Nothobranchius furzeri: one gene and its partners. The protein of the gene in region 5 purifies or fractionates together with the protein of the main gene of each other region. This does not show direct contact. Links are inferred from orthologs where the notes say so. Each region holds a gene or a part of one and is shown on either strand. Other genes may lie near its edges.

What was found.
Region 1: the proteins of ift57 (region 5) and cluap1 purify together in Homo sapiens (affinity purification with mass spectrometry; 4 studies listed by BioGRID and IntAct, counting the BioPlex papers as one, with this or other methods). This does not show direct contact. The link is inferred for Nothobranchius furzeri from reciprocal best matches to the Homo sapiens genes IFT57 and CLUAP1.
Region 2: the proteins of ift57 (region 5) and ift27 purify together in Homo sapiens (co-immunoprecipitation; 3 studies listed by BioGRID and IntAct, with this or other methods). This does not show direct contact. The link is inferred for Nothobranchius furzeri from reciprocal best matches to the Homo sapiens genes IFT57 and IFT27.
Region 3: the proteins of ift57 (region 5) and ift80 purify together in Homo sapiens (affinity purification with mass spectrometry; 3 studies listed by BioGRID and IntAct, counting the BioPlex papers as one, with this or other methods). This does not show direct contact. The link is inferred for Nothobranchius furzeri from reciprocal best matches to the Homo sapiens genes IFT57 and IFT80.
Region 4: the proteins of ift57 (region 5) and ift20 purify together in Homo sapiens (affinity purification with mass spectrometry; 3 studies listed by BioGRID and IntAct, counting the BioPlex papers as one, with this or other methods). This does not show direct contact. The link is inferred for Nothobranchius furzeri from reciprocal best matches to the Homo sapiens genes IFT57 and IFT20.
Region 6: the proteins of ift57 (region 5) and ift22 purify together in Homo sapiens (affinity purification with mass spectrometry; 3 studies listed by BioGRID and IntAct, counting the BioPlex papers as one, with this or other methods). This does not show direct contact. The link is inferred for Nothobranchius furzeri from reciprocal best matches to the Homo sapiens genes IFT57 and IFT22.
Region 7: the proteins of ift57 (region 5) and ift88 purify together in Homo sapiens (affinity purification with mass spectrometry; 3 studies listed by BioGRID and IntAct, counting the BioPlex papers as one, with this or other methods). This does not show direct contact. The link is inferred for Nothobranchius furzeri from reciprocal best matches to the Homo sapiens genes IFT57 and IFT88.

Annotation. Positions count from the first base shown.
Region 1 is NC_091748.1:64,775,477-64,779,476, forward strand, and holds the start of cluap1 (clusterin-associated protein 1 homolog), read right to left. Parts: upstream 2,801-4,000; 5' UTR 2,689-2,800; intron 2,074-2,688; 5' UTR 2,068-2,073; coding exon 2,046-2,067; intron 1,964-2,045; coding exon 1,852-1,963; intron 1,658-1,851; coding exon 1,573-1,657; intron 1,487-1,572; coding exon 1,310-1,486; intron 364-1,309; coding exon 268-363; intron 154-267; coding exon 70-153; intron 1-69. UniProt on the Homo sapiens protein: Required for cilia biogenesis. Appears to function within the multiple intraflagellar transport complex B (IFT-B). Key regulator of hedgehog signaling.
Region 2 is NC_091746.1:76,141,234-76,144,733, forward strand, and holds part of ift27 (intraflagellar transport protein 27 homolog), read right to left. Parts: intron 3,432-3,500; coding exon 3,372-3,431; intron 2,164-3,371; coding exon 2,104-2,163; intron 1,886-2,103; coding exon 1,768-1,885; intron 1-1,767. UniProt on the Homo sapiens protein: Small GTPase-like component of the intraflagellar transport (IFT) complex B that promotes the exit of the BBSome complex from cilia via its interaction with ARL6. Not involved in entry of the BBSome complex into cilium. Prevents aggregation of GTP-free ARL6.
Region 3 is NC_091753.1:52,601,098-52,605,382, forward strand, and holds the start of ift80 (intraflagellar transport protein 80 homolog), read right to left. Parts: upstream 2,801-4,285; 5' UTR 2,576-2,800; intron 2,460-2,575; 5' UTR 2,443-2,459; coding exon 2,403-2,442; intron 1,903-2,402; coding exon 1,684-1,902; intron 1-1,683.
Region 4 is NC_091753.1:22,422,731-22,426,757, forward strand, and holds ift20 (intraflagellar transport protein 20 homolog), read right to left. Parts: upstream 2,801-4,027; 5' UTR 2,524-2,800; intron 2,092-2,523; 5' UTR 2,082-2,091; coding exon 1,955-2,081; intron 1,841-1,954; coding exon 1,755-1,840; intron 1,623-1,754; coding exon 1,519-1,622; intron 995-1,518; coding exon 913-994; 3' UTR 327-912; downstream 1-326. UniProt on the Homo sapiens protein: Part of intraflagellar transport (IFT) particles involved in ciliary process assembly. May play a role in the trafficking of ciliary membrane proteins from the Golgi complex to the cilium.
Region 5 is NC_091751.1:36,282,714-36,286,875, forward strand, and holds the start of ift57 (intraflagellar transport protein 57 homolog), read right to left. Parts: upstream 2,801-4,162; 5' UTR 2,600-2,800; coding exon 2,445-2,599; intron 1,525-2,444; coding exon 1,350-1,524; intron 1,130-1,349; coding exon 1,011-1,129; intron 642-1,010; coding exon 551-641; intron 301-550; coding exon 232-300; intron 153-231; coding exon 30-152; intron 1-29. UniProt on the Homo sapiens protein: Required for the formation of cilia. Plays an indirect role in sonic hedgehog signaling, cilia being required for all activity of the hedgehog pathway.
Region 6 is NC_091751.1:48,583,784-48,587,423, forward strand, and holds ift22 (intraflagellar transport protein 22 homolog), read right to left. Parts: upstream 2,349-3,640; 5' UTR 2,260-2,348; intron 2,146-2,259; 5' UTR 2,104-2,145; coding exon 2,065-2,103; intron 1,386-2,064; coding exon 1,303-1,385; intron 1,206-1,302; coding exon 1,122-1,205; intron 1,046-1,121; coding exon 843-1,045; intron 770-842; coding exon 615-769; 3' UTR 501-614; downstream 1-500. Other genes in the region: outer dense fiber protein 2, read left to right, coding at 2,846-2,967, 3,056-3,167, 3,254-3,385, 3,499-3,573. UniProt on the Homo sapiens protein: Small GTPase-like component of the intraflagellar transport (IFT) complex B.
Region 7 is NC_091742.1:29,231,089-29,234,588, forward strand, and holds part of ift88 (intraflagellar transport protein 88 homolog), read left to right. Parts: coding exon 1-7; intron 8-179; coding exon 180-330; intron 331-1,466; coding exon 1,467-1,582; intron 1,583-3,500. UniProt on the Homo sapiens protein: Positively regulates primary cilium biogenesis. Also involved in autophagy since it is required for trafficking of ATG16L and the expansion of the autophagic compartment.

The DNA of each region.
Region 1 (4,000 bases), on a different chromosome or scaffold from region 5:
AAAACATTTTCCGTGTGAAGTCAAGTGTTGAAAAGATAACAAAACAAAACAATAATTTAAAATACAGACCTGAACTTTCTTGATGGCAGCTCTCAGGGCTTTTTCAGTCTCGTTAATCTCAAGAGGTCGAGCAATGGCAGCCATTCTCGCTGCCTGTCAATTAGAAAAGAAGTCCGTCAACAATTAAAATCTAATTGTCTTTTTCTAATCAAATAAAAACTTTTTAAAGATGTTTAAAACTGCAAGGTATGGTTTGTTTCCCTTTACCCTTAGGTCCACTTCTTTTCCCAGTAAGTCGTACAGAGATGCTCCTTTGGATGTGACTTCAGATGCAAGCTGACGAACTGCTTTAAGGTCTGAAATCTGCAGCAGAGACAACGTGAGAGCTAATAAGCACTCATCTTTCACACAAGTCTTCGGAGCATAAAATGTGTGGGCAATAAAAGTGACTGCCATTTACTGGCTAACATATGTCCACAAGTCTGGAGGTTTTTGTTGGCAGGTGTTGAATTAAAAATGCTGATGCAGCAGTGTTAGCTGGCGCACTCAGCTACCCAGCAGGCTCATGGATTGTAAACAAAGACTTTTAAAGGAGAAAAGCTGGCCTCCATCCAGCCAGCTGAGAAGGAAATCTGTTTCAATGTAACCTTCTTTCCAGCATGATTGAGACATTAGTTTTTGATAATTTCACAGTAACATGATTTTTTTCTTCATTTAACCTGGTAAAATGCTTGAGAACAAGTTCTCATTTACAAACAAAAATTCTTACATATTGTACCTTTACATTAGGCCAATTTTTCTGCTTCCAAGCATTGATCTTGATTCTTTATTGATCCCTCTTGGAGAAATGATTCCCTGCATCCCTGAAGAGCAGTGGGCTGTCGTTTGTACAGCACCCCAGGGGGGGAAATTTCAGAGTTCAGTACCTTTCCCAAGGACACATCAACACGTGGTCTGCCAAGGCCTGGGATCGAACCACTCACCTGCTGCTCTCCCTGTTCAGCCACGGAGACTTATTTTTAATAACTTGATACAGTTTTGATGCAATAAAAACTACCCTGACACAAACTCCTGTTATGAGATTGTGTGTGCCTGTAATACTGTCAGTAAGTAATACTGTCAATAAGTAATACTGTCAATAAGTAATACTGTCAATAAGTTGTGCTTTGATTGTTTTATTTAAACTGTCTTAAGTTCCCAATTTATTCATAATGTACCAAACTCCTGACACCTTACTGTTTACTAATATGTTCATAAATAACTGAGGATACAGGAACATGTGTGTAAAATTACTCGCAGACAAGCTCACCCTTGAGCTGAGGTCAAACTTAAACTTGTTATCTTCTTCCACTACATCTTCCTGAGCCATCTCTTTGGTTTTCATAGCATTGTAGATCATCGAGGTGATCTTTAGCATCTCTTTTACTGCGTAGCCATCCGCCTGATAAAGACGCTTGGTGTTTAACTTAATGTGAGCCTTTGTAGCCTGTGAGCAGATTAGACAAAAGTTAAAACAGACTTTGAATTTGGGTGGGCAAGAATACAGAAGATAATCTGTAAAAAAAATGTCACCATAAATTGAGCCACAGCCTTGATGAAGAATATTCTGTCTGACTCTGTATCGACATCAGTGGGAATATCACTGTGAGGATCATATCTACAAGAGGAAAGAAAGTGAACAGGAACAAAATTACAAAAAAAGTATTTAGATTTTTTAATCTTGGAATATTTGATGAAAAACCAGGAACAAATCCAAATAAAGTAGTGATAAAATTAGGAATTAAATATTTGTGCAAAAAACTGAAGATGTTTAGACAATTATGTAATTTATTTAAAAGTGTGATGCCATACCTCTTTACAAGCCATATGAGGATTTCTGACACCAGCGCAAAGTTTGGTGTCCTGAAATTCTCCATAGAGATCAAGCGATGGTAGCCCAAGGCCCTCATCATCTCTGTGAAATCTGCAAATAACAAATTCAGGGTCCAATCACTTGAAAAAATGTGTGTTACATTATATAAATATGGAAAATAACACACACTCACTTCTTAGGTCTCTGAAAGACATGCTGACCTGAAAGGAAAACATGTCATTATTGAGAGTGGTGTTACCTAGAAAGCTCAATGTGTCATATTTGAGATTATAGATGAAAACATAACCAAATAATGTTTCCAACAAATCAAAACTATTTCTTCCCGTTTAGAGTCAATGATGATAAAAAAAAAAATAAAAGAATCGTAAACCTGAAACGTTTGCTAGCTTTATATGATTTGATTAAATTAATTAATTTAAAAGCAATCAATTTCCCTCTGGGATTAATAAAGTATTTTTGAATTGAATTGAATTATGAGGGGACAGAGCAAATGTGCTTTGAAATATGGTATTTTTGTTCTATCCGTGTCTTTTTAAAACAACCATGTTTATGCTTTGTTTATAATCTGTTCGGCGCTTCATTAGTCTTGAAAAGTACTTAAATAATAAAGCTGGATGGAGAATAACATCTGCAAACTTCTGTTTATGTAAACGTAACCACGGTCTAGCCTCTTTAGCTGAATGTTAGCAACAAGCTAACACGACAACCGCTAGTGGCTAACAGCTAGTTAACAAATAAATAATTAATATTTTACTTAATGCGTTATTAGTAGTTCCCAGACGGATTTAAAATTATTACGATATTGGTGTCATTACCTGTTACCTTATGTCCAAGCTAAGTTATTCCGTAGACGGCCTCTAGAAATGGTCGCTATGGAAACATTCTCACTCTCATCTACGGAAGCTCGATGTAGTCAAAGCTCAAAGAAGGGCGGAATCAATGTCTGTGGGAATAACTAACACTTGGATTCGTTGTACTTTATTAAAGTAAATGCAATAATAAATGCACCAATGTCTCTTTGAATTTAAACATTGATTTTTAAATTTGGACATGCTTCAATAATGAAGACAGTTGGGGATAATGACGTTTAACTACACATTGTTTATTCTGATCTTATTTATTAGCACTTTCCAGAAAGCACGATTTAATGTGTAGAATGACGGACAAAGAGTGTATAAAACGTACATGATTTGACATGTCAGCTCATAATACTCCAAAACTGTGCCTATGAAACTGATAGTCATTGGCCTTTGCTGAGTTTTATCTATTTAAACATCTTCAACACACAAACTGGGTTACGAAAAAAAGATTGGGCAGCATTCTCACTATACACACACAAAAAAAGGAAATATTCACATTATACACACCTGCATTTAAAATTATTGCATGTAAAAAAACAATAGAGGTCTCAATAGAATTTGCTCTGCTAGTCCTGCAAAATGTGTCTCATTTTATTATCATTGTAATATAATACATGTGCTAACTTGTCTTTTTCTGATAACAAATTTTGAGTAGCAGCTGAAAAACAACTGGTTTTCAGGTATTTCACCGCTTTTGGTTGAATACATAACTCCACATGTGTTCATTCATAGTTTTGATGCCTTCAGTGAGAATCTGCCAATGTCATGAGAATAAAGAGGGCAGGGTTTATCAGATGGAACGAGGGAAAAACCATAAAAACAATACATATCAATACTTACAATTATGAAGCTGAGGTTGACTTGCAATTGTAAGTGGACCTAAGTGGCAAAAAATCTGTTGATGACTGTCATGCAGGACTCAATGAAGTCAATGCAAATGTGCAAAGCAATCTGTAGAGCGGGTCTCAAGATAAGCTGGGAGCTGCAATACAAGAAGCAAAAAATGCTCTAACTGTAGCAGCTACACCTGCTTCTGCAGACAGATGAGACAACCATGACATGATGTGTCTGAGTCTCAGTCAACCTCAATAAATCCAGATACAGCAAATTACATAGCAACAAGTCAAATCAACAAACACCCAGAGTTAATTAGAGTTTATGATTGAATCCCCCTCATATAAGCTCTTTAATGGGCTTTTTTTCAAAATTTTAAAAGGAATCCACACACAGAGGCTCTGTGTACAGGCAACGATCACACAAAAGACAA
Region 2 (3,500 bases), on a different chromosome or scaffold from region 5:
CCAAGGGTGGCATTTGCTACCCCAGGCCACTCCCTGGACACGCCCCTGCAAGGCGGGTTAAGTGTCTTGCCCAGGGACACAACAGCAGCATTCTCCGGTCGGAGCCGGGATCGAACCTGCAACCTTCTGATTACTGGACAACCCGCTCTACCTCCTGAGCTACTGCTGCCCCCAAAGCCTGGTTTGTACTTCTCCGTGAGCTCTTAGCAACGGAGAGACGCACACGGAGTGTCGGAAAGGTTTTCACATTCGAACTTCTGTTCAGGCAGCGGAGTGTTACAAAGAAACTCCCCGCCAGGACAACAGAGGGCGTAGAGCTGTTCTGTGGTTTTCTCATGTATCCAGTCCACAATAGTGTATTTTCTAATGTGTTTATATATTTCAGAGACTTTATAACACAGACAAATTTGTTCCTCATTCTCCTCCACCTCTTCATGTGGTCGCCACCTCTAAACCCACGTTTCCCGTCGTTTCCATCCACGTTTGCTCCGTATTTTGTACTCGTTCACTCACGGGTGAATAAATGTTCTTATTTTCAGACTTTTTTCGAGATGCCTTCTTCATTCTCTTCTGGGTCTGCTGCTAAATATCTTATTACTTTTTAACAAGGCAATGGCGGTGCCGGTGAGGAATTTACAGGAAGCGGCGTCCTGACCAGTGACAAGCTCGAAGTCTCCGTCACTTTTGACGGATGTTTAAAATTTTGGGCATGTCTCCGTCACCCTCTGTGAGCCCGTTGGAGAGCCCTTGCGTCAGCGTATCTCCGCACTGACGCAGACGGAGAAGAATAAATCAGGCATAAGACCATAAAAGTTAAAGTGGTGGCTGAAACTCTGGACAGGGGCCCCCTAGGGACAATTTAGGGTTCTCAGTTGACCTAAAATATATATATTTTTGGTCTGTGAGACGAAATTGGAGTGCCCAGAGAAAACCCACACATGCATGAGGAGAAGAGGCAAACTCTGAGCAGATTGGCCAAAGCCGGGAATCTAACTTACAACCATCCTGCTTTACCCACTGAAATAAAATGAACAGTATGACCAATCGGGTAAGAAAAAAGCAGATTTATGTCACATTGTAAATTTTGCATTTGTAGTTGTGAAGCAAAATAGAATACCGGCCTTGGAAGTCTGTATTTACTTAGCGTCCAGGAGAAAACAGAGTTTGTCATGGCTAGTAGAAGCTAACCATTAGCATTAGCAATAATTGTTTTTGTGGAGCTAATACATCAACGCTGCATGTTTTACCCAAGAAAGAAGAGTAGTGATCTGACGTTCACGAACGAAACTAATCTCTTGAACTGCTCTTCAAAGTGAACAATGAGAGCCAAAGCCTTGGAAAGAACCATTCATCTTGTCTTCCAGTAACGCCCCACACTCTCACATTGGTGGAATGCTAACCCAGTCCTCCAACTAACTTCTACTTCCTGAAACAGGAGCACCAGAGCTTTTTCTCCCCACAGAAAACACTCACAAGGCATGATTTAAGACACCACAGCAAATTTAATAAATAACAAGTGCCTGCCCTCTTTAAAGTAAAAGCATTACTGTATGTTGAACAAACAACTTCAGAAAAGATTAAGTCCAACATTAATAAAGACACTTTCTGAAAAGTTCTAGTTAAAGTGTGAGATTTATCAAGCAAACAAAAATATAAACTATTTTGCGACTTAGGCAGATAATTAAAAATGTTAAATAATGCTAAGTACTCTAAAGTGCATGATGAGGTTTTGATGTCTGTTGGTACAACAGCGTTACTTTTATTCACCTGAAACACGAAGACCTTGGCAGTGCGTACGAACTCTCTCCATCCAACCACTGCAGTTGACAAATGACTGCTCATTGGTCAAATCAAACACTAGGCACACCAAAGAAGGTTCACCCCACTGTGAAAAAAGGGTGATATGTAGCAGTAAGTCTCATAGAAGCAGGGGGAAGGGACAGGTAGAGTCTGAGATGCTACAGGGATGTCCTATTAGCTTTGTTCTGTCTATTGCAAAAACAATACTCAAGTAGCACACTGGTGTTTTAACATTCTGAGGGGATGGAGCTCTGGTTGGACAGTTTTATAAGTTTCATGCAAATTAAACAAAGGTAATCTGACCATTTTCTCACAGCCCTCCGCTAGCGTCTCCTTCCCTGCAGAGTCTAAGATATAGAGCTCCTGGAAAGAGAGGCAAAAAAAAAAAAGGGGAAGGCAGAAGTGTTAACCGTGGAGACTTGGACTACACAATTTAAAATTCCCTTTCTCCAAGGTAAAGACATTCATCTTCTACAATTCCCCTACACTGCTCAATGAATACTGATAAGAAAGGGGGAATAGTAGATGGAAAACTTCATTCGCAGTGAGTGAGGGTTGCCAAAACTTGGCCTCTGTAATTTAGGTACTTTAAAATAGAAAAGAAAACATGAGGTAAATATTCAGCAGGTTTACTTAAATATCTATTATTCTTTTAGATTAAAGAATATCACCAAACTTTTGTTTTAAAATGTGAACAAATCAATGAAAGAAATAGGACAAACACGTTCACTAACACTAAAATCAAGACAAATGTTGTTGCTAAATAGTGCAGAGTTGTTGCTTGTGTCGGGAATCCTTCTCAAACCATTCTCTGTTGCTTCTCAGTTTAGTTTCCATGAATCAGAGGTGCAAGAAATGTCAGACAACTTTAAGAAGGGTTAGTGACTTACAGCTACAATGGCAGATTTGGAAAACAAATTAGGTTAAAAGTAAAACAACGTTCCAACATACTATAAACATGTATATTTTAGAGATTTGAAAAACAAATTATTAAAATGTTTCTTTTGAATTTATCTAATAAGCTCTGCCAATAACACCTTTTGGACCAAAAAAAAAAAACAATTAAACCATACAGTTGTCAGTCTCGCCAAACCGTCACACTTCCCTGGGTCCTACATTTATTGCACGCTCACATGTTTAGCAACAGAACACCACTGGTGTAAGAGATTTTCTGCTCATAGCATCAGAGAAGGAGAAACAGCTGGCTGCTACCACTTCAAATTTAGGACAAACTACTAGAGTCCCAAAAAGAAAAACACCATTTGAAGTCATGGACAACAAAAGAGGTTTGTACGTAGAAAACAGCGACCGGTGTTTAGCACTATCTCGTTTCGTCCGGCATTGCGGGATTCCGGTTCTGGCAGAGGTGACTCGGGGAAGATGTCTGAGGCGAGGTGTGAGTGTTCCGTGAATGTGTTTGCATTAAAAACCTAGCATCTCTCAAAAATGGAGCATTGCAATTGGTCGGACCCTAATTTGTTCGAGCCAATGGTAGACCTGATGAGGCTACAGTAGAGCATGGCTAGAAAAAAGCTATGCTTAGCTAGCTCAAGTAGCATTTGCTAGCTTACCACCGTGTCATTGGTCTCTGGGATGTTGACACACTTCATCAACAGCTCCACTCCAGCTGTCTGTTGAGAAAATAAAGAAAATATGTTAATTATGTAATAAAAAACAAAAAAGAAATATATAGTGTTTTT
Region 3 (4,285 bases), on a different chromosome or scaffold from region 5:
GAGCATCTTCAAAACTAGCACCCTCCCTGCACCCATCCCCCTCTCTACTGACCTCTCCTTGTTCCCTCCTCTCCATGATTCATCATGCTGCCTCACTGCCACCTACGACTGACATGAAATTGGTTGTTGTTCTTGTTGTTGTTATTGTTGTTGTTGTTAGCCTCAAGGGCAACATGCCGATTACCACTTGTAAGTAACTTTGGCCAAAAGCGTCTGCTAAATACATAAACATAAATACATAAACATAATTTCATGGCTGTTGCCAGAATATTCTAGATGACAAGCAAAGACGAGTTATATACATTAAGTTGATAAGTAGATAAATAAATTGTAATATTTGGTGTTTAATACGCTTGGGTGTTTTACAGCAGGGAGCACTTACTACCGTTATTATGATAATATGCCTCCAGCAAAGAGGAAGTGCAGTTGTTTGCCCTCCTGCCTTTTAGCTTGCTGTTACAGTTTTGAATGACTCATTTAAAGAACACCACGATTTACTCATAATTCACTTCACGCATACATTTTACTGTAAGATTGAGTTGTTGGTTACAGAAAAGGTAGCTTATGATATTTATAGACCTTAATGTTTGCTTCTAAATCACTGTTAGCATTGTTAGCTCAACATTAGCCTCTAGCCTGCTTCACTTGATGTGAGTGTAAAACAAATGGATACAGTGGCTCCTAAAGCCTGATTTATACTTCTCCGTGAGCTCCGCAATGGGGAGACGCACATGGAGTGTCGGACAGGTTTTCACATTCGAACTTCTGTTAAGGCAGCGGAGTGTAGCAAAGCAATTCCCCGCCAGGACAACAGAGGGCATAGCGCTGTTCTATGGTAGCCTGCCACCATAACTCTCACGTATCCAGTCCCCGATAGTGTATTTACTAATATGTTTATATATTTCAGAGACTTTATAACAAGAACAGATTTGTCCTTCATTCTCCTCCACCTCTTCATGCGGTCGCCACCTCCAAACTCACTTTTACCGTCCATGTTTGCTCTGTATTTTATACTCCTTCACTCACGGGTGAAATTTTTTTTTATTATTTTTGAACTTTTTCTTTAATCTGTTCTGGGTCTGCTGCTAAATATCTGTTAACTTTTTAACTGAGCTACAGCTTTGCTAATGACGAATATACAGGAAGCGGCATCCTGACCAATCACAAGCTTGCTTTCTCCGTCACTTTCGATGGATGTTTATAACTTTGGGCATGTCTCCATCACCCTCTGAGAGCCCATCAGAGAGCCCTTGCGCCGACGCATAATGGCGTTGCATATCTCCGCACCGACGCAGACGGTGAAGTATAAATTAGGCTTTAGGGGTACAAAAAACTTACTTCTGGGTCGCTCCTGTTTACATGCTTCAATTCTTTAAACAACTCTGGAGATTTTTGTCTCCCGGTGTTAAATTAAAAATGCCGATTCTGAAGTGCTGGCTTGCTGCAGATGTGGCAACCTCACTGGTTGTAAATGAACTATGTCACTCGTTGTTTTTTTTTGTTTGTTTGTTTGTTTTTTTAAGGAGAAAACTTGACAACCCCCTCCAGTCAGCTGAGAACTTAATGTGTTTCAATACAACCTTCCTTCCAACATGATTGAGACAACACTGTCTTGTGAATAGTTCACTGTAAAATTTGTACATATTGCTCCTTTAAAATGACAACTGATTTAAAGAAACTTGCCATCTGTGCTGGTAAGGACAAAGATCTCAGCCTGGACCTGTTTCTTGCCACCGATGGTTTTGGGGAACCAGTGTAGTTCGATGGGATAGATGTCTTCCGGCAACCGGATGACTAGGCTGGTTTCATTATTGAGCAGGTTCCACTTGAGGATCTGATGATCCTCACTGCAGGAGTAGAGCTCATCTGCTGTAGTCCAACCTACACAACTGGCAAGTTCTTTATGTAAAATGCAGTTAAGGAAAATAATTCAAGTGAATTGCTTCGTCATTCAGCTGACTGTAAAGATCGACATCTACATTCACAAAAACAGAGACGAGAACAAGAATATATCCTGGTGTGAAACATATAAATGTTCATCTTTCTATCATATTGTTTATTTAACAATCTAGCTTTGCAACTATTTTAAGCGCTACCTCGCAAACAAAAAACTTCTCTTACAATATGTTGCTTTATGAATAAGAGGGTAACTGATGTAAAAAGGGTAAAAATTGTAAATGAACACTTTTCAGTTTTTCCTTGATTACTCGTGTTTGCAACTGGAATATGTTTAACATCTTTGTTCTGGTACTTTTAAAATAAAAAAAACGATTTTATTGGGTTATGTGTTCATTGGGGCTGACAAAGGTAAGGAATTCTGACAATATGTGATGTAATTAATGCAAGTTTGAGCTGGATTAAAAAAACGGACATAGCTAAAGCTAATATCAACATACAAAGGATATGTTTGGGTTCCTTTAGCAGCGATGTTTTCAGTCTCATTGTAGGAATTTGCTCTCCTAAACGAATAAAAACAATGCCAGACAACACATGTTATTCAAATGCGGCATACATGAAATAAATAATTCAAAACAACACATAAAAACAACATTAAGCGTACGCATCATAAACATACCCCGTTGATGCGGTAAAACGTTCCTTTAATGGAGGAAAACCCTGGGTGTTCTGCAGTTGCTAAGGTGGCTGGCACCGTTGCTAATGTGAATCCTCGGTAGGACTCGTGCCAGTAACTTGTGTGCTAACGATCCTCTTGAGAGCCACCGACATCATACTGCAGTTAACGAGTTTATCCGTAGCGAACCTGCGAGGCATACGTGTCGTATAATACGGTTCAATTAAACAGCAACGTAAAAATCAGCCATAAACAGCACCAGGCACTAATTTGTCATAACGTAAGGCTAACTTTTTGGTAGCCATTTGAGAGGACGTTTAAAACGGTAGTTATCGCGAGATTTACAAATATCTTCCCGAGAAAACAAATTCGAAAATGCTTGTAAATTTAAATAAGATCCCGTTAATACCATCCACATAAATATACGGTTAATACATGCCACGTTTTAATCAAATCAGACGTTGCACGTATTGTAATAAACGTAATGGGCATTTTTTTAACTAAACGAATTCTTAAAAGGCGGAACTCACTTCTACTGTAACTGTAAACATAAAGAACAAGATTAAAGTTTTTATTTGCAACAAAACGTCATTTAAAATTGTGTATCTTAAACTCCAGAACAACGACTCTTTATTCTCTCCGTTTTCTTTTTATGAATACTGTAGATGTGGAGAGGCGGAGTTGGCTTCGTCCCCTTTTTTGAATTTCGAGTTTTTTCCCTGCCCTTTGAACGGTCCATGGTGCCTTGCGTCAGTTTGTAACGAATTTGGTTTGACGGCGCAGTTTAGGCGCCATTTACAAGTTAGAATTTTCAACCAGGAAACCGACTCGGAATGTTACAGGGCTGAATTTTATGGATTATATTCGCCGAAGTTCGGATTTCCTGGAATTTTTTAGAGCAACGACCTGGGAAAGAAAGGAGGACTTTTCACGGACCGCGTCGATATTGTGGAAGGTACCAGGAGATATCTTAGCGAGGAAGATCGACTGGGTGCCGTCTATTTGCTGAAACGCGTAGCGTTAGTTTCAAACTAAAAGTACCACTGACGATGTGGAACTGCATTTTAACTGAAGAAACCCCGAAAAATAATACAAATAGACTTGTGTTGTCTATCAGCTGCGAATTAGGACTTCATAAGATTTGTTATATATTACATTCGATCTAGATTGTTTGCCAAATCTAATAGCAGTGTAACGTGGACCGTTTCTATTTTCAAGCTAGTTTTTGTCCTTTTGATCAAAGTTAACGTGACTTTGGTTGAGTTAATGCTGTTGCTCCCCGACCTACATTGCCAGGGTTATCTATTATGTTGCTTGTGTTAGTTTGTTTCGTGTTTTTTAAGGTTAAATTGATGCGGTGGTTATTTTATGCATTTGAACGCGCTTATCCAGTGAGTTTAGGTTGCTCAGTTATACCTCCGCCCCCAACAGAAGAGCTCCCAGGATGGAAACTTAATGTTACTGTCAGATTGAGACCTCGGCTAGAGCCCTTCTGCTGCGTGGCTATGCAACATGGGACAAGACAAAGCGCTAAGGATAGAGAAATCGTCTCATTTGCATATTAACTGTATTTTGTTTTCAAGATATTAATCTTATTTTCACGTTTTCCGACCAAAACGAAGCGTGCCGCTTATAAATGACTAAGATGGTCACAAACAAACAAAAAGTTCAGCTAAGAAATTAGCTTGTTTTGTTATTTTAGTTAGTTTTATG
Region 4 (4,027 bases), on a different chromosome or scaffold from region 5:
TTCCCTCTTTCCTATTCTCTCTTTACATTTTTAATCACAATTGTCTGTTTTTGCTGATTTTTAATCATTTTCTAAATTCTTTTACATTTTTTGTGAAGCGCCTCGTGATTTTTATCTTGAGGCACTTTAGAACAGATCTTTTCTTATTCTTCTAACAGCATGGGAACTAGCCTGGCAAGCCAGACTAAATAATCGTATTACTTATATTATTTGTTTGCACAATTCATTTATTATTTATTTGCAAACTTTGCAAAGCAAGAATTTGGTCTAGTTCACTAGGCTCCATGGGAACACCTCTGAGGAGTAAACAGCTCTCAGATTTAAAGCAACTTTTTGTTCTGTAGGTAAAAAAAAAAGAAAATCCTGGGAGTTTTACTAAAACCAAACATACATGTGAGATTAACCCACCAACCATCAAGACAGATTTATTCAATACACAGTATTCAAGTAAAACATCTGTAGGAATCTAAGAAAAGCTTGTGTTTATATCCGCAGGTCGGCTAGAACGGGCTTTCATAACAAGGAAACGTTTGAAACTTGCTAACAATCACATGCAGAATTCATGACAGTTCATAGAAAAAGTTACAAAACTAGATATACAGATTAATTTTCATCATGAAAAGTATTAATAATGCTGCTTCATATAAATAGATCTACATTTTTCTGTTGGACTTTGATATAGACACATCTGATGTTGAGCATTCAGCATGGCTGCTTTGATGTGTTGCAGACACACACACACACACACGCACACACGTCTGAGATCGGCGCCGCAGAAACGGGTGTTGAGGTTTCCTGATGACACTGAAGCTGGGTTTCAGATGACGAAGCTCCAGTAGGAGTGACTTAAAATGACAATCACTCTGGAAAGGCACTCAGAGGCTGAATGTATCGTTCTTTATTCGTGTTCTCTCACTTCTGCAGAATAAACTGGTCGATGAACTCGTTCTGTTCAGACTCCACTTTGGACAGGGCTTCGTACTCGATGCGATACCTGAAACACAACAGCAGCTCACAGGACGGGACCGACAGTTAGAACTTGGGGTAAATATGAAGGTCCACTTCACTACAGCTGACTCCCAGCACAATACTCCAGACCCCCATTCCTCTGCTGCTCCTGCCTCAGCTTCGCCGAGGAACAAATAAATAAAACAAGGCAGTAGAAAAAAGCCTTTTCAAGAACAACTGAATTAAGTAAAACACTGTGTGCTCCTGAAGCCTGTTCCATTTTATTACTAATGTTACATAAACAGGGCTTTTTACTGAGTTTGAGGCACAAATTTGATTATAGCATACAAAGTGGAACTAAAAAAAACTTCCTTCAGTCCTTCAAAATAATAGTCTCATCATTTACCTTAAAACATCTGAAGGTTAAAAACTATATTTTTCTACAAAACAAAAAAGTTCATCACTAAAGTATTTTAAAAGTACCCTTATAGGTGTTTATTGTTCTGAAGGTCACGTGTCCCTAAAGGGTCATGCTAACCCATCTGACACACGTGCACCGCGCTACTTTACCTCTCCAACTGCATCTTCTTCTCAGTGATCAGGGCCTGAAGCTGCTGCTGCTGGGCTTCTCTTTGTTTTGCCACAGACTTCAGCAAGTTTCTGGCTCCAATCGCCTACAGGACAGGATGATGAGTAATAAGTTCTGCTTACACATGATTAGAGCATAAACCCGATACCACTAAAAGTTTCACAGAATCAGGAGAGAAAACAGGGACATACAAAGCTGCTTTCTGTGTCAGACTTACCTTCATCTTCTCCGTTTCTGCTTCTTTTGCCAGTTCGTCCACCAGCTCGATTAGACCACCCACGGTCTTCTGAAACTGTCCAATTTCTGCAACAGAGGAGACAATTTTGCACACACTGTTGAGGCTGGTGATGATGAAAGGGAATAAATAGTTGGAAAAGTGTGGGGGTGGGGATGAGGACGTAAAATCTCCATGCTTACTGTCTACAAAGTCCTTGCACTCTTCTTTAAGCTCTGACGTCTTGTGGCTGACATCAGGCTCTAGCACCCGCAGCTTGTTCAGGTCATCAAAATAAAACCCTGCCTCTGCGAGTGGGTCTTTAGCCATGGCCAGAGGCCTGTCATCAACGACAGATGCAACTTAGTTTAGTAATATCAGATAGTTTGTAGGATAATATACCTAACAGGTAACACCCCATTATCATCATAATACACACAAGAGCAGGTTCAAAACAAACAGAAGTAAAACACATTATTTTACTAAAGATGTTCAAGTGCAAACCTTTCGGTAAAGCAGGATTCCTTCTACTCTAGTGCTTAAATTAACAGCACCTTAAATTAACCTCGGCTGAATGAAAGTTCATGTGTCACCAAATGAAAGATTATGCTTTTATTTTGTTTCGGTCATGTTAAGAACTCCCCAGCTAGATGATTTAAGTTAGCTAGCATAGCTAGATGTTTCAAAAATGCCACAAATTGTTTTCTGTCACCACTTCATAATAGATGACCAGTTTTTATGAAGATAAGAAACACAAATGTGTATGTTTTACCTGTTACAGTCGTGAGCTGATAGGCTTTATCCCGTGTGATGTGGCAGAGCAGATGAACTAGCAGCTAAGCTCCTCCTGTCGCTGCCAAGGAAACCAAACAGCTACAGCTGTGTCGGGGTCTTTGGGGGTGGTCGTTTTCCCCTATCCTTCTTAATTATCATAACAAAACTATTCACTGTTTCGTTACAACGCTGTCCCCTATGTTTTTTCCGTTTGAATACTTTACCGGTGTGTTACGTCAACATGAGTTCCTCTAGGGTGGGTGGAGGACTCGTATCGAGGTAACACCGGAGAACGGGAGTGACATGTTTATCGTAATGTTTTTAGAACTGTGACCAAGTCAGTCGCTCAGTGACATAAATGATCTAAAATTTAAATCTAAAAAAAAAAATTAAATAAAAAAAAAGCCCAACTATATGTTGTTTCTCTTATCTACTGTGGGTGTTCCACCCCAATGCGGAAGGTGACGGTAATGAACCGAAAAAGCAGTTCGCTAACAGCCATTCCAGAAAAAGAACAAGAAACGGATACGTCTGTTTTGTTTTCTTTCTTTTTTAAAATCATTTAAAACTCCATTTGTTTATTGTTGTTGTAAATATTACTTAAAATCATAAAAAAGAGGACGGTGAGTAACTAAAGCTTACAGACTCATACCGTGTTTAGGATCAACTGTAGGATCCAGTTTGGCCATTTTTTACTTTTCCTTAGTTTATTGAAGTTTTACCTCGTGATCACGAATATTCAGGAGTTAGTTTTCCGTTTACTAGAAATGCATTTAATGCAAACAGCGATATCGTTTCAGTGCGTTCAGCTTCTAATATTTGATCTGTTGTTTATCTGCTTTTCTGAGTTTTTGGCTAATGTTAGCGGGACATGCTAACAAGATACAGTAAAACGAATAAACATACAGCATAAAAGCTTTAGTTTCCACTGACCTGTGCTATTCTGAACTGAAACTGTATATCAGAGTTAACACGCATGTGAAACTAAATATTGTGTTTACACGGAGTTTAGTTATCATCACCTAACCTAACTGTTACTGGGCCCCAAACTATTTTTTTATCGGAATTTTTTAGCAGCCACACAACTTTAACCAGAAAGCAGCAGCTTCCATCTTAAGCTAAACTGATTGTTTTGGGACAAGAGTAAATGAAAAACTCCCTACTGGAGCCTCATAGGTGTTTTGGATCTGTTGGACTTCAGATAAACTGGTGCACCATCTATCTGAGACGGAAACAGGAAGTACACAGTACGATGTCCTCTGAAAATGACTACAACCGCATTACCAAATAATCTCTCAAAAATAAACATTAAACTTTGACGTATTCGTTTAAATAACAACTAAGGTATTTTATCAAGTGCTTTTAACTGAGAATGATACAAATAGTTATGAATCACAGGAGCTATTAGATGTTTAAAGTGTAACAGAAAGAGAATTTTAAAGTGTTTGGTTGTTTTATTAAACACTTTGTGTTCTTTAAGGTTCAAACACCTCCTGTAGACC
Region 5 (4,162 bases):
GCTACGCTGCAGCACAGACGAGCGTGCACCTTGTTGTCGGTCCTGATGGTGACCTTGAGCAGCGGCAGGACCCTCTCCACCTCCAGGTTCCATTCCGCTGCCTCCATCGTAGATTCCAGAATCTCATCGGGTTTGGAGGACGGTTCTGCTTCCTGTTAGACAACAGAACCGGTTCCAGTGAGAAGGAAGCTGGGTTTCCAAACTCCAAACATTCCTCTAAATAAATCTCACAGTGTGAGTTGTTCTCAGCTTCAGAGCCTCTAGGTCCATCATGGTTTCCTCATCCTCGTCAGCTTCCTCCTGAGGAACAAAACCATTCAGATTTACACTTTTTAAAATGATGAAACGGTTTTCTGTCAAAATCAGCAGCAACTCTTCCTGGCTCCCAAACAAGATGCTGCAGAAACATTTCATTTACTTTTCACGCCGTTTGTAAAGCATGACACCACTACGCTCTCTGATGTTTCAACAGAAATGTTTTTAACTTCAGTTCATTTTGGTCAGAGTAAAAACAAACTCGTTTACAGGTAAATAAGCCAGAAACACGTACAATCGTCTCCACTTCTACTTTGCTGAATGTGAGCTCGGCGTCGTCCTCCATCACAGACTCTTCTTCTGTGTTTTCTGTTGGGTAGCTGGGCCTAAAAACGGAAAGACAGCTGTAAATCCTCTCTCTCTCTCTCAGTAGGAGCGTGCAGAGGTGTCAAAAAGCAGGTTTCTTCTGTTTTTGCTCTGATCAACAAACGTCACCATCAAAGACGACTGAAAAGCAGTTTCACATCATCATACTGAAACTTGTTTGATCGCTGAAACATTTTTGCGAATATCAAAACAAAAACAGACAAAATCTGTGAGAATCCGTTTTAATGTGTGAACTGGGATTGAGACAAAACCAAAAAGGTTTCCTGACAGAAAAAGACTAGAGGGATAAACGTGCATTAATGGGTTTTATGTGACAGTAATAGATGTTTTGACCCAGTAATGAGATAAAGGAGGACCCGTTGTCGTACCTCCTGAATGTGAAGCCTCTCTTCTTAAGCGCTTCTTCAGCCAGACGATCCAACACAAAGCAGACGTGCTCGCCTGAACCCGACTTGAGTTTGGAGGGAGGGAAGTCCACTTTTACACCCTGATGGAGACATGGATAAATACCCTGAAACCCCCGAGCTTTAATAGCAGCTGGTGTCAGGAGTTACGGAGAAAAAAAATACAAAAAATTTATTGTCGCACAAACTATTCATTTTATTTATTTAGCTCTTGTTTTTGATAATTTCACAAAAATAAAACGTCTGATTCATGTAGCAGACGCAAAATTATTCAAGGGGAGAGAAAAGTTTGTTGTGACGTACGAAAGCCCTGAGTTCTGTCAGGATGTTGGACACGGTGGCGTTGGGTTCGTCGTACTCCTGAGGCTCGGCGAACGCTCTACCCGCTATGTTGATGAGCCATGCAGCCATGATGGTGAACATGTAGAACTGCTCACCAGAGTTGGACGCCAAGAATGGACTGGAGACAAAGTAATGTCTGAGGGGAATTAAGGACACAAAAATGCTATTTTTTAATCTTTCTTTATAAATGTATATTTTGTAAGATTTCTAGAGTCAAAAACAATCTTTTACCCCGAACGTTCTGAATATAACAAAAACTCTAGAGAAAATGAACTAAAACCTGATGTACACTTTCATGGGAATTCTATTAGTTGAGAGCTGCATGGAGGCCTTGTAGTGAAAAGGTGACAGGTTTGAATCCCATCTGACTTTTCTGTGTGGAGTTGGCATGCTCTCCCCATGCATGTGTGAGTTTTCTCCCACAGACTAAAAACATACATGTCAGGTTAACAGAGACACTCAATTGCCCCTACGTGTGAGGGAGACGGGTTGTGTGATAGACTGGAGACAAGTCCAGGGTGTCCCTCGCGCCCTGTGACCCTACTGAGGATGAAGGGGTTTAGATGAGTGAGTGATACTAAGATATCAGATAATAATTAGAGGAGGACGGGTTTGAGCTAGTAGCAGGAAACTGGAAGTCTGCAGAAAACAAATAAATAATGTGTGTGTTTATGTGGCTTCCCACTGCTAAATAAATTATGTCCGCACAATCAAACTAAACGCATAGACATGAATACAAAAACAGTGTCTGAGTGTTGGACATGGTGTCTCCAACAGGAAGGACACATTTAAAGCTTCTAGGAAATGTAAAAAGACACCAAAACACAGAAATGTTTGTTTTTATAAGTTAAAACTTGTGGAAAAGCTATAAACAGAATTTAAACAGAACAGGTTCAGTAGATCTATAAAATTATTGTCCATCTTGTGTTTCTGCCTTCCTAATCTGCTGTATTCTGGTCACTTTTCAAGTTTAACACAGAAAAGTCAGATTAAATAGTTTATAAATTAAACCTAAACTGTGCTCAGACCCAGATTAGGAATCCAGTCTCTTCTCACCTGGACAGACTCTTCATGTTGTGTTTGGACAGAAGTTCCTCCTCGTAGTTCAGGACCTTTAACTTCTCCAGCAGGTTCTCCATCACCACAAACGCCTGGTGGACCGAACCTGGCCCGCGGTCCGCATCCTCTCCTCGTCGAGCCTCCTCCGACATTCCGTGGTATTTCCCCAACGAAACACCTTAAAGGTTAATTTTGCTCAAAACGCGGTCGGTTCGGTCCGATTTTGATGGCTCGCTTCTGATGCTGCGGTTTGTTTCACTTCTTGTCGGTTGTTAGGCAACCGAAGCTAGCCACCTAGCTGTGGAGGAGGATAACCTTAGCCAGTGTGTCTTATTTTCAAGCTAGGTTAGGAAGTATTTAAAAGTCTATTCAACAGCAACAACATTAAAACTAACAGGTTAAGTGACAAACTCAATTCAAGCGTAAAGTATCGCTGTTAAAACGAGCTTCTTCTTCTGGTTTGATTCAGATTTAGCCAAACGACTTCAAGGTGCGTCACCACCACCCAGCGGGCGACACGAGTACTACACGCTTTTGAGCAAAATAAATAAATAAATAAACCATTGCAGGGCTATTCCGATTTCCAGCCTTCCAGCACGTTTTAGTGGTTTCTCTAGTCACCTGTGCAGCAGCTACACCAGGCTCTGCAGAAGCCTGTTAATCACCTGCTGATTGAAAGCAGGTGTGTTAAAACAGGGTTAAACTAAATGTGCTGGATACCAGTACTGGAATTGAAAAGCCCTGCAGTAGGGTGTTTGAATCAGCTTAGTACTACTGTAACTTACCAGTTAAAAAAAGATGAAAGAAAACCACCCGAATCAAATTCCAAATTGTAAAGATTACTTGACTTCATTGATGTATTGAGTCCAGTTCTGCAGAAGGAGCTTGATTGTTGAGCAAACCTATTTTTCATTTGATCCATTTCCAATTTCAAAATAAGCCTATATTGTCTCACTTTGTTTGTTTGGGTTTAGCACAAAAGGTTCCCACAATGGCATTGTTTCTGATTCTATTTCATTCAAGTTCAGCATTACTATGTTGCACAAAAACCTTCTTTTGATTAATTCATTTCCACAACAGCAAAAACAAACCATCACTTACATCAGTCATCAGCAATCCTCTAGTCATTTTCGTCAGAAACCTTTATAAAAATATTATCCATGTTGTAGCAACTGCAGCTGCTTCTAGAGCAGAACAAACATAATGTTACCTCTTCATTGTGCTACAGTATTAGCTGAAGCTCACCTCCGAGCCAACGCCATCTTCCCCGTGTGACCCTGAACAGGAACATGTAGGTGTAGAAATGATCACCTTACCATGGGGGAGGGGCTTCCGGACCCTGTCAGCTGTGTTGTCTGGGACATCAGACCCTGGTAGGGCCTCCAGGGTCACTGAGCCTCAGAGGTTCAGAAGAGTCCTTCAAAGAACTTAATGTAGGAGGACCAAGAAGCACCAGACACCTCACAGAGAGACACAGTCATGAGAATCTGGATGAGATTTTTGTTTATTTATGACAACAAAACTTAAACCCAATTAAAACACAGAAAAGGCAACACTTTGGGATAATTGTGGTCAACTGAGTCAGTTAGCAGAAGACTTCTAGATGAAATAAAGGGGAGAACATCCTGGACTTTGTGTGATGTAAAGCTACATTCCACCTGTAGATAGCATGCACACTGCTCCTATCTTGGTCAGAAACACTTTCTAACACATGA
Region 6 (3,640 bases), about 12 Mb from region 5:
GAACTTTTCACAATACCTCTTAAATCACAAACCTCTCCCACAGGACTGCTGAGTTAAATCTGTTAATAGATGGGAGCAAGGGTTAATTTTTGTTTTGGAAATGTGGGGTGGTCCAACATTATTGTTTTCTGAGTGTTTTTCCAGCAGTGTTTTGTCTTATGTGAGGTGCAGGGTGAGTCAGAGGAAAGTGAGTAATGATTCAGTCATCCATGTAAATGTGAAGCTGCACATGAGCTTCTCTACAACGTGTAACATGCTTTATTTAGCTTTGTTCAAGTGCCTTTTGCTTATTTCCAACTTGTGCAGACACAGAAATGTAAAACTTGTAACTTTTTTTTTTGCGTGGACATTTTAGACATTTCTTTATGGTTCTAAAGAATGCATTATATTATAGGTGAGTGTTTGTTGTTTAATGAACTGATTTATTTTGTTTTCCATTAAGGTAATGGCACACATGTATTCCTGCTTTGGTAGGAATAAAGGTATAAAGTAGGTAGGTATAAAGTAAATGAACCTTTAATAAAACACTAGGGACAAGTTATTAACAGAAAATAACTTGATGAGTTACATAAGCCAATGAACTGTGCAGTCAGTCGGGTAGATATGTACAGATTTCACTGCTGAGTAATAATTGACATTTCCTCTCGCTCTTGACTCTCCAACATCCCATTTACAACATTTCCCACATATCTGAAGAAAGCATGTCTAACATCCTCTGGGTCCTCTTCCAGGTTGGAGTGAATAAGCTGCAGTCTGCTCAGATTTGGTGCTGCATCAAAAGAGTAAAGATGTTAGCTCGGAAAACAAAACAAAAAACTGATGCAACACTTTTAGGAGATTACCTAAAGTCAACTGCCCATCTTTTACCTCACTGCCAGGCTTGTGATGAGCTATGAGTAGACACTGGTTGTCCTGCAAACCTTGGGATGCAATGAACATGGAGTACCAGGTCTCAATTTCTTTCAGGTGACTTGGAACAGCAGGATTAAAAATGGTCACCACACCATTACAGTCTTCCATGAGAGCAGGCCAGCATAATTCAAACCTGCAGAAAAGGGTTGGCATCAAAAAGCAGCTTTCATTTAGAAAGAAAAGGCATTTTCTTAGTGAATATGACTTACTTAAAATCTCCTGAACAATCCCAAAGTTCCACCTCACAGGTCTTGTCACCACTGCCTTTAAGCTGGGATTTGAATTCCAGTATCCTTGAGCAAGTAGAAAGTGAATGTGATCATTTTAGTATAATATGTATATGAGGTAATAACATTGAATGAAAGGTAATGAAAGGAAAACAGCCTGTACCTGACTCCTTTAGTAGGTCGGTACTGTCCGCCCACGTTTTCTGTCATGTCTGAGAGAAAATTGGCAAGAACAGTTTTCCCACTCTGAAAAAAGGAATAGATCACTTTAAAGATATGTTTAGTTCTCACATTTTACAATATAAGCATGTTTATGAACTGACCAGTGGTGCTGAAAAGCATCTGAGTTTTATTTGTACTACATGTCCGGTGTGACATGAAAATGGAAATAGCTGAGGTACAATTAAAGTGTGCTCGAGTAACCAAATAAAATGTATTTAGTTGAATTCAAAAACATCCAATCTTTTTGTCTTTTCACAAATTACTTTTTACACATTAAAAACTTTCAAAAGGTCTTTATTCGTAAAATAGCATAGTTTTGATTTCATTAACCTAAGCATTGCGTTTTTCTTTTAAATGCTTCCATACACCGTCATAACAAGGTTATTAGACTGTCATAAATATATGAATTCGATATTAGCTGAAGTGCTACTGAGATAAACATAAAATAGTTTACACTAGAACTGGGGTAAAGGTGCTGGAAGGCTGGTATTATGCATGTTTTAGTTGTTTGCCTGTTTCAACACACCTGATTTCAACGAGTAGGTGATTCTGCAGAGCATGATGAGCTGTTGAACAGATAATTGAATCAGGTGTGTTGAAGCAGGGAATCAACTCAAACGTGTTGGACATCTCGAGGACCGAGATCACTAAAGAAGTTAACAATACATGCTCATCTATATACGTTTTACGTTCATTTACTTACCTCGGTAGGTCCAACAAAGAGTATTTTTACTTTGAACATTTCCGAAGCCGAGCATTAGCTATCACGCTAGCTTTAAGAACCCTAAGAAAATCAACGTTTCAGCGTGAATATAAATTGCTAAGTACGTCTTTAAAGAAACATGTGTGTGGTATTTTAAGTTAAAAGAATAAAAGTATACTAAACTAGCTTATTTACGTTTATGTTCTCCGACTACAAGACTTCCTTGTCGTTTCTATGGTTTCAACCAAGCTCCCCTTCTTTCTTCGTCCATTGGCTGTTTGAAATTAAAATCAAACGTAGTCCCGCCCCTCTTTGCCTCGAGGAGCCAATAAGTGATGGGAAAAACATGTAGCGTCATTACGTTACTTCGAAGATGGCCAATCGCGCTTGAGCGTCCCTGCTGCCTCCCCAGTTGAAGTGGTATTATTTACAACAGAAACAAAGCGAAAGTGTGAGTAATATTAGAATTTTCTAGAATATACGATTTAAAGTTGAAATGTACTAAGTTTAATTACATTAGTCACCACGTGGTTGTTAGTGACTTAGCTTATTCGGCAAATTAACACGCGTTAAACGACGGCTTAGTCAAACCTGTCCGTTGCTATGGAGTACAGCATGTTAGCTTGGGTGTCCGCTGGCTTCCTGGTTCAAGTCAAATTGGCTGTAAAGTGTAATAAAACGATCTTATAAGCATATGAGATAGAATTTCCATCAGGATATTTAGTGATTTAACACTTTGTTTTATTTTGTTTATTATGTTATGTTTTTGTTAGTGGGGGGTATGTCTCCAGAGGATGGTGATCCCCAGAGTTCCCCTTTTCCTGGATTCAGTTCCACCAGTGATGATCTCACTCTGAGGCGTGGTGACCTAGACAACAGTCATGAGCCACAAAAAGGAAACAGGTCACAGAGAAAACACACATGTTTATAAACATGTGCTCTGGAGCTAAAAGGCTTACAACATTTTCTCACATCCCTATTTTTCATTTAGCTTTGAAGAGAAGCACACCTTTCTGAAACTACTGATTGATGCAGAAGCTGCTGCCAACTCTGCAGGAATACAACTTGCTTCATTCAAAAATGCAATAGAAGATGAATTTACTGTATGATTAAGAGCAATTTTTACCTTCTTCTGTTTGGTTTGAGCATTTACCGTGTCTGTAAATAATCACATCTTCTTTCAATTCAGGATTTGGGACCGTCTTCCAAAGACAAGCGTGGAATCACAAGGCAGAGAGGACTTTTGCTGGAGAAGTTGGAGAATTTTAGACGAATAAATAAATCTGTGCGACAGGAGTTAAAACTACACCAAAATGCAGAGGTGGATTTTTAAATGTTGAATTTATGCAAAAAAAAATGACTTAAAATTTTTCTCTAAATATAAATTGTAATAAGTTTGACTTTACCTGCTTTAATAATGAATTCCTTATACAGGTTAATCGAATTACTGAAAAGAAACGGACAGACCTCTTATTAAAGAAGATAACACAAGCTGAAAGTGAAAATGAGGTGAATGTTTTATTATATCATATTCTATGATGGGAGAAGATATAATTAGTCAGGAGTTGAGTCAAAC
Region 7 (3,500 bases), on a different chromosome or scaffold from region 5:
CCGATATGTATCCTGCTCATAAGAAATCTTGATGCATTTTTCTCTCCACTAGATTAAAAGTTTCACACTTGTTTTGAGATACTTAATGTGGCCCTAATGGTTTTTATTCAGGTATTCAAAACGGCATCTCTGTTAGCACCATGTCTGCATTTGTTGGTCCTTAATAACCTTGGACTCAGCTACGAGCTGATGGGCGATCGTCAGCAGGCAATCAAGTGGCTGATGCAGGTCATCTGTGTGACCCCGACTGACCCCCATGTCCTGGCCAAACTAGGAAAGCTGCACAATGACGAGGGGGACAAATCTCAGGCTTTGCATTACTATAGTGAGGTATGCAAAATAAACACCTGACACTGTGACTGAACAGAAAGGCGAAGGGATGTTTGTTTGATCTTTTCTGATGACCAAGACGGGAAAAGAAGGTGTCCGAGGAGATTTAACAAACGCTGCACAAATCATTTATTCTGTACTTCCAGGTTCCCAGATTCTCCTGAGTGTTGATAAATAAATGTTTATTTTCACTCAAGAACCGATTTCCTCAGGAACACATCACTAGTGGTGGGTTCAGTGGTGAACCTCATCTCCTTTTGCTTTCAAAATGCCTGAATTCTGAAGCATTTCGGTCCGGTTGAGCTCGTGGTCGTGTTCTAGAAACCAGTTAGTGATGATCTGAGCTTTGTGACACGGTGCATGATCCTGCTGGAAGTAGCATCAGAGGATGGGTCCATGTGGTCATAAAGGGATGGACATGGTCAGCAGCAACACTCAGGTGGGCTGTGGGGTTAAACCAGACACATCAGACCAGGAGAGGTGTTTCCAGTCTTGACTGGTCCAGTTCTGGTGGTCCTGTGGGAATTGTAGCCTCAGGTTCTTGTTAGCTGACAGGAGAGACACCTGCTGTGGTCTTCTGCTGCTGGAGTCCATCTGGAGCAGCGGGTGAGGTCCTGTAGACCTTGGTAGAAACCAGTGACTATTAGAGCTGCTGTCGTGTCATTTAGTTCTGTCAGTTTGGCCGTTCCTCTTGACGTTATCATCCACACAACAGCTGCTGACTGATTTTCTCTTCGCCGTAAGTCCCAGAGATGGCTGTGGACTCAAATCCAAGTAGATCAGCAGACTCTGAAATGCTCTGCCGGTCTGTTCCCCAAAACCACACGTTTAAAATCCCTTAGATCTCCTTTCTTCTTCATGCCCATGCTCAGCTAGAACTTCTACGCGTTGTCGTCACCACATCTACATGCCTAAACACACAGAGTTGCTGTCTTCTTGCTGGCTGGTTAGGTATTTATGTTAACATGTTAATCCGGTGTAACTCATTAAGGGGCCAATGATTGGAAGTGTAAGCAGGTGCATTACACCTTTGTCAAATGAAAATCACATCATGCCAAAAAATATCTGCAGTGTACATCAGCCATCTGCCGCCCTGTTGACCTTTGGCCCACGTTAGTGTAACGTGTCCTTTTCAGTCCTTCAGGTTGTTTCCCTGCAAGATTGATGTGATCGAGTGGCTTGGGGTTCACTACATCGAGAGTCAGTTCTTTGAAAAGGCCACCCAGTACTTTGAAAGAGCCACACTCATACAGTAAGTTTCCACAGTGTGCACGTATGCTGGAGGATTGTGACAGGACTAAGCGGATCAGTGTTGCTGATGCAAACCCATTTGAAGGTTGTTGTTTTTTAAACTCGTTCTACGGTCTCTTCTGGGCTTGAGCCCTACTCAGGAAAGCCGGATGAAATCTGTCTGAGCTAGTAGTTTTGATTTGTTTCAGTGTACAGTACTTTAAACAGGTAGCTCCTTGTTATTTATGAAGTCACCACAGTTCAATGGAACAGTTTATAGCATGTTAGGTTTTTATGATGCACATTGTTCCGTTATACAGATTCTGGCTTAAACGTCACACTTCAACACATAATAAAATTGTACTTGTGTTTTTGTAAACAAGGTCAAATGAAAAGTGGACGTAATTTGTTTAAATCTTGAGAGGGTTTGTAAATTCTGCTCTTGTGAAAATTCAGTATTTTGGGAACAGAATGTCCCCGATGATGAGCGGCACAGCTCCGCTCCGTTAGCTTTATTCTCAGCCAGTGTGTCTCCTTGCTCATCAGGAAACCAAAGTGTTGCCCTAAAAAGACTAGTTGGTTTTCTAATGGCATGTAAACGTGTTAGTCTGGCTGAAGGCCAACTGGTTCTAGTCGAGCTGAATCACCCAGATAGTGTGGTAGCAGTCTGACTACGTTCTGCATGGAAATCAATCAATCAATACTTTATTGATCCCAGAGGGAAATTAGAGTTTCAGTACACACACTTCAGAGATCAGACATACATGGGCAAGACACATGACAAGAATTGGTGACTGTGGTCATTCGCAACCGGAGTCGCTCTACCTGAATGGAGATCAGAGGGTTACATGAGGATATGTTCAGGTGGAGGGAAAAAAAGGCACTTCAGAGTTACCCTCCACCGGGAGGGCAGCTTTGCTCTGCAAAAAACACCTCAAACAAATATGCAACAGATTTCAGACATAACACAACATAACATGAGACTCCAATAGGAAGGTGGGGGGGGCTGGGATCCTGTTTCCCCCAGCGAGAGCAGCCATCTACGGCGCTCATCTACTGAACAGTCACAGGTGGGAGGGAGATCTTGGGAGAAGCAGAGTACATTGACTCCTACAGTTGACGACCTTGCCTGGCTGAAGTCCACCAATCCGTAGGCGGGGGGTGGGGGGATGGGGGGGATAGGTCAGGTTTTCACAATATCTGTCTGCATTCCTTCGTGGGGGTTTTAGTTGCTTGCAGCTCAAGGCTACCAGGGCGTCAGATTCAGATAACAATACTTTGTTTGGGTCAGGCTGAGATCATTTTCCTCTCTGCCTTCAGTCTTTAAACTGATCATTTCCAGTCCTTCAGTGAAGCCAATTTTGGGTTTTTAAACCTGTCCATACCGTCCGGTGACTCTCTCTGGCTGGCTGGCTAGCCTGTATTTGATATAGCGCCTTCTAGAGTCCTGGAACCCCCCAAGGTGCTTTACAACACAATCATTCACACCCTGGTGGTAATGAGCTACATTGTAGAGGACTGACAGAGGTGAGTCTGCCGTACACACACACACACACCAGTCCCTCTGACCACCAGGCAAGTCGAGTTAAGTGTTTTGCCCAAGGAGACAGCGACAGACTGAGTGGGGCTCAAACCTACAACCTTCCGATTACGAGGCGAGCACTCAACTCCTGTGCCATCGCCGAGTACATTAAATATAAGAAATCATGACAGGTGTCCTTCAAATTGTCTAGCTGGCTAGGAGGTTCCATTAAAATGACTTTTATCAAGTATCTAAACAAGATGCCCCGTGCTCTCCATCACAACCCATGCCCAACCAAAAAGTCTACATCATTGTTCTCTGGACAGTTTTAGGGTTATAAAAAACTGTTTAAAATATTGACTTTGCTGTCAGGTCCAAATGAAGCAGGTGTGGTTGTGTAAAGCGGTTTTAATGTTAT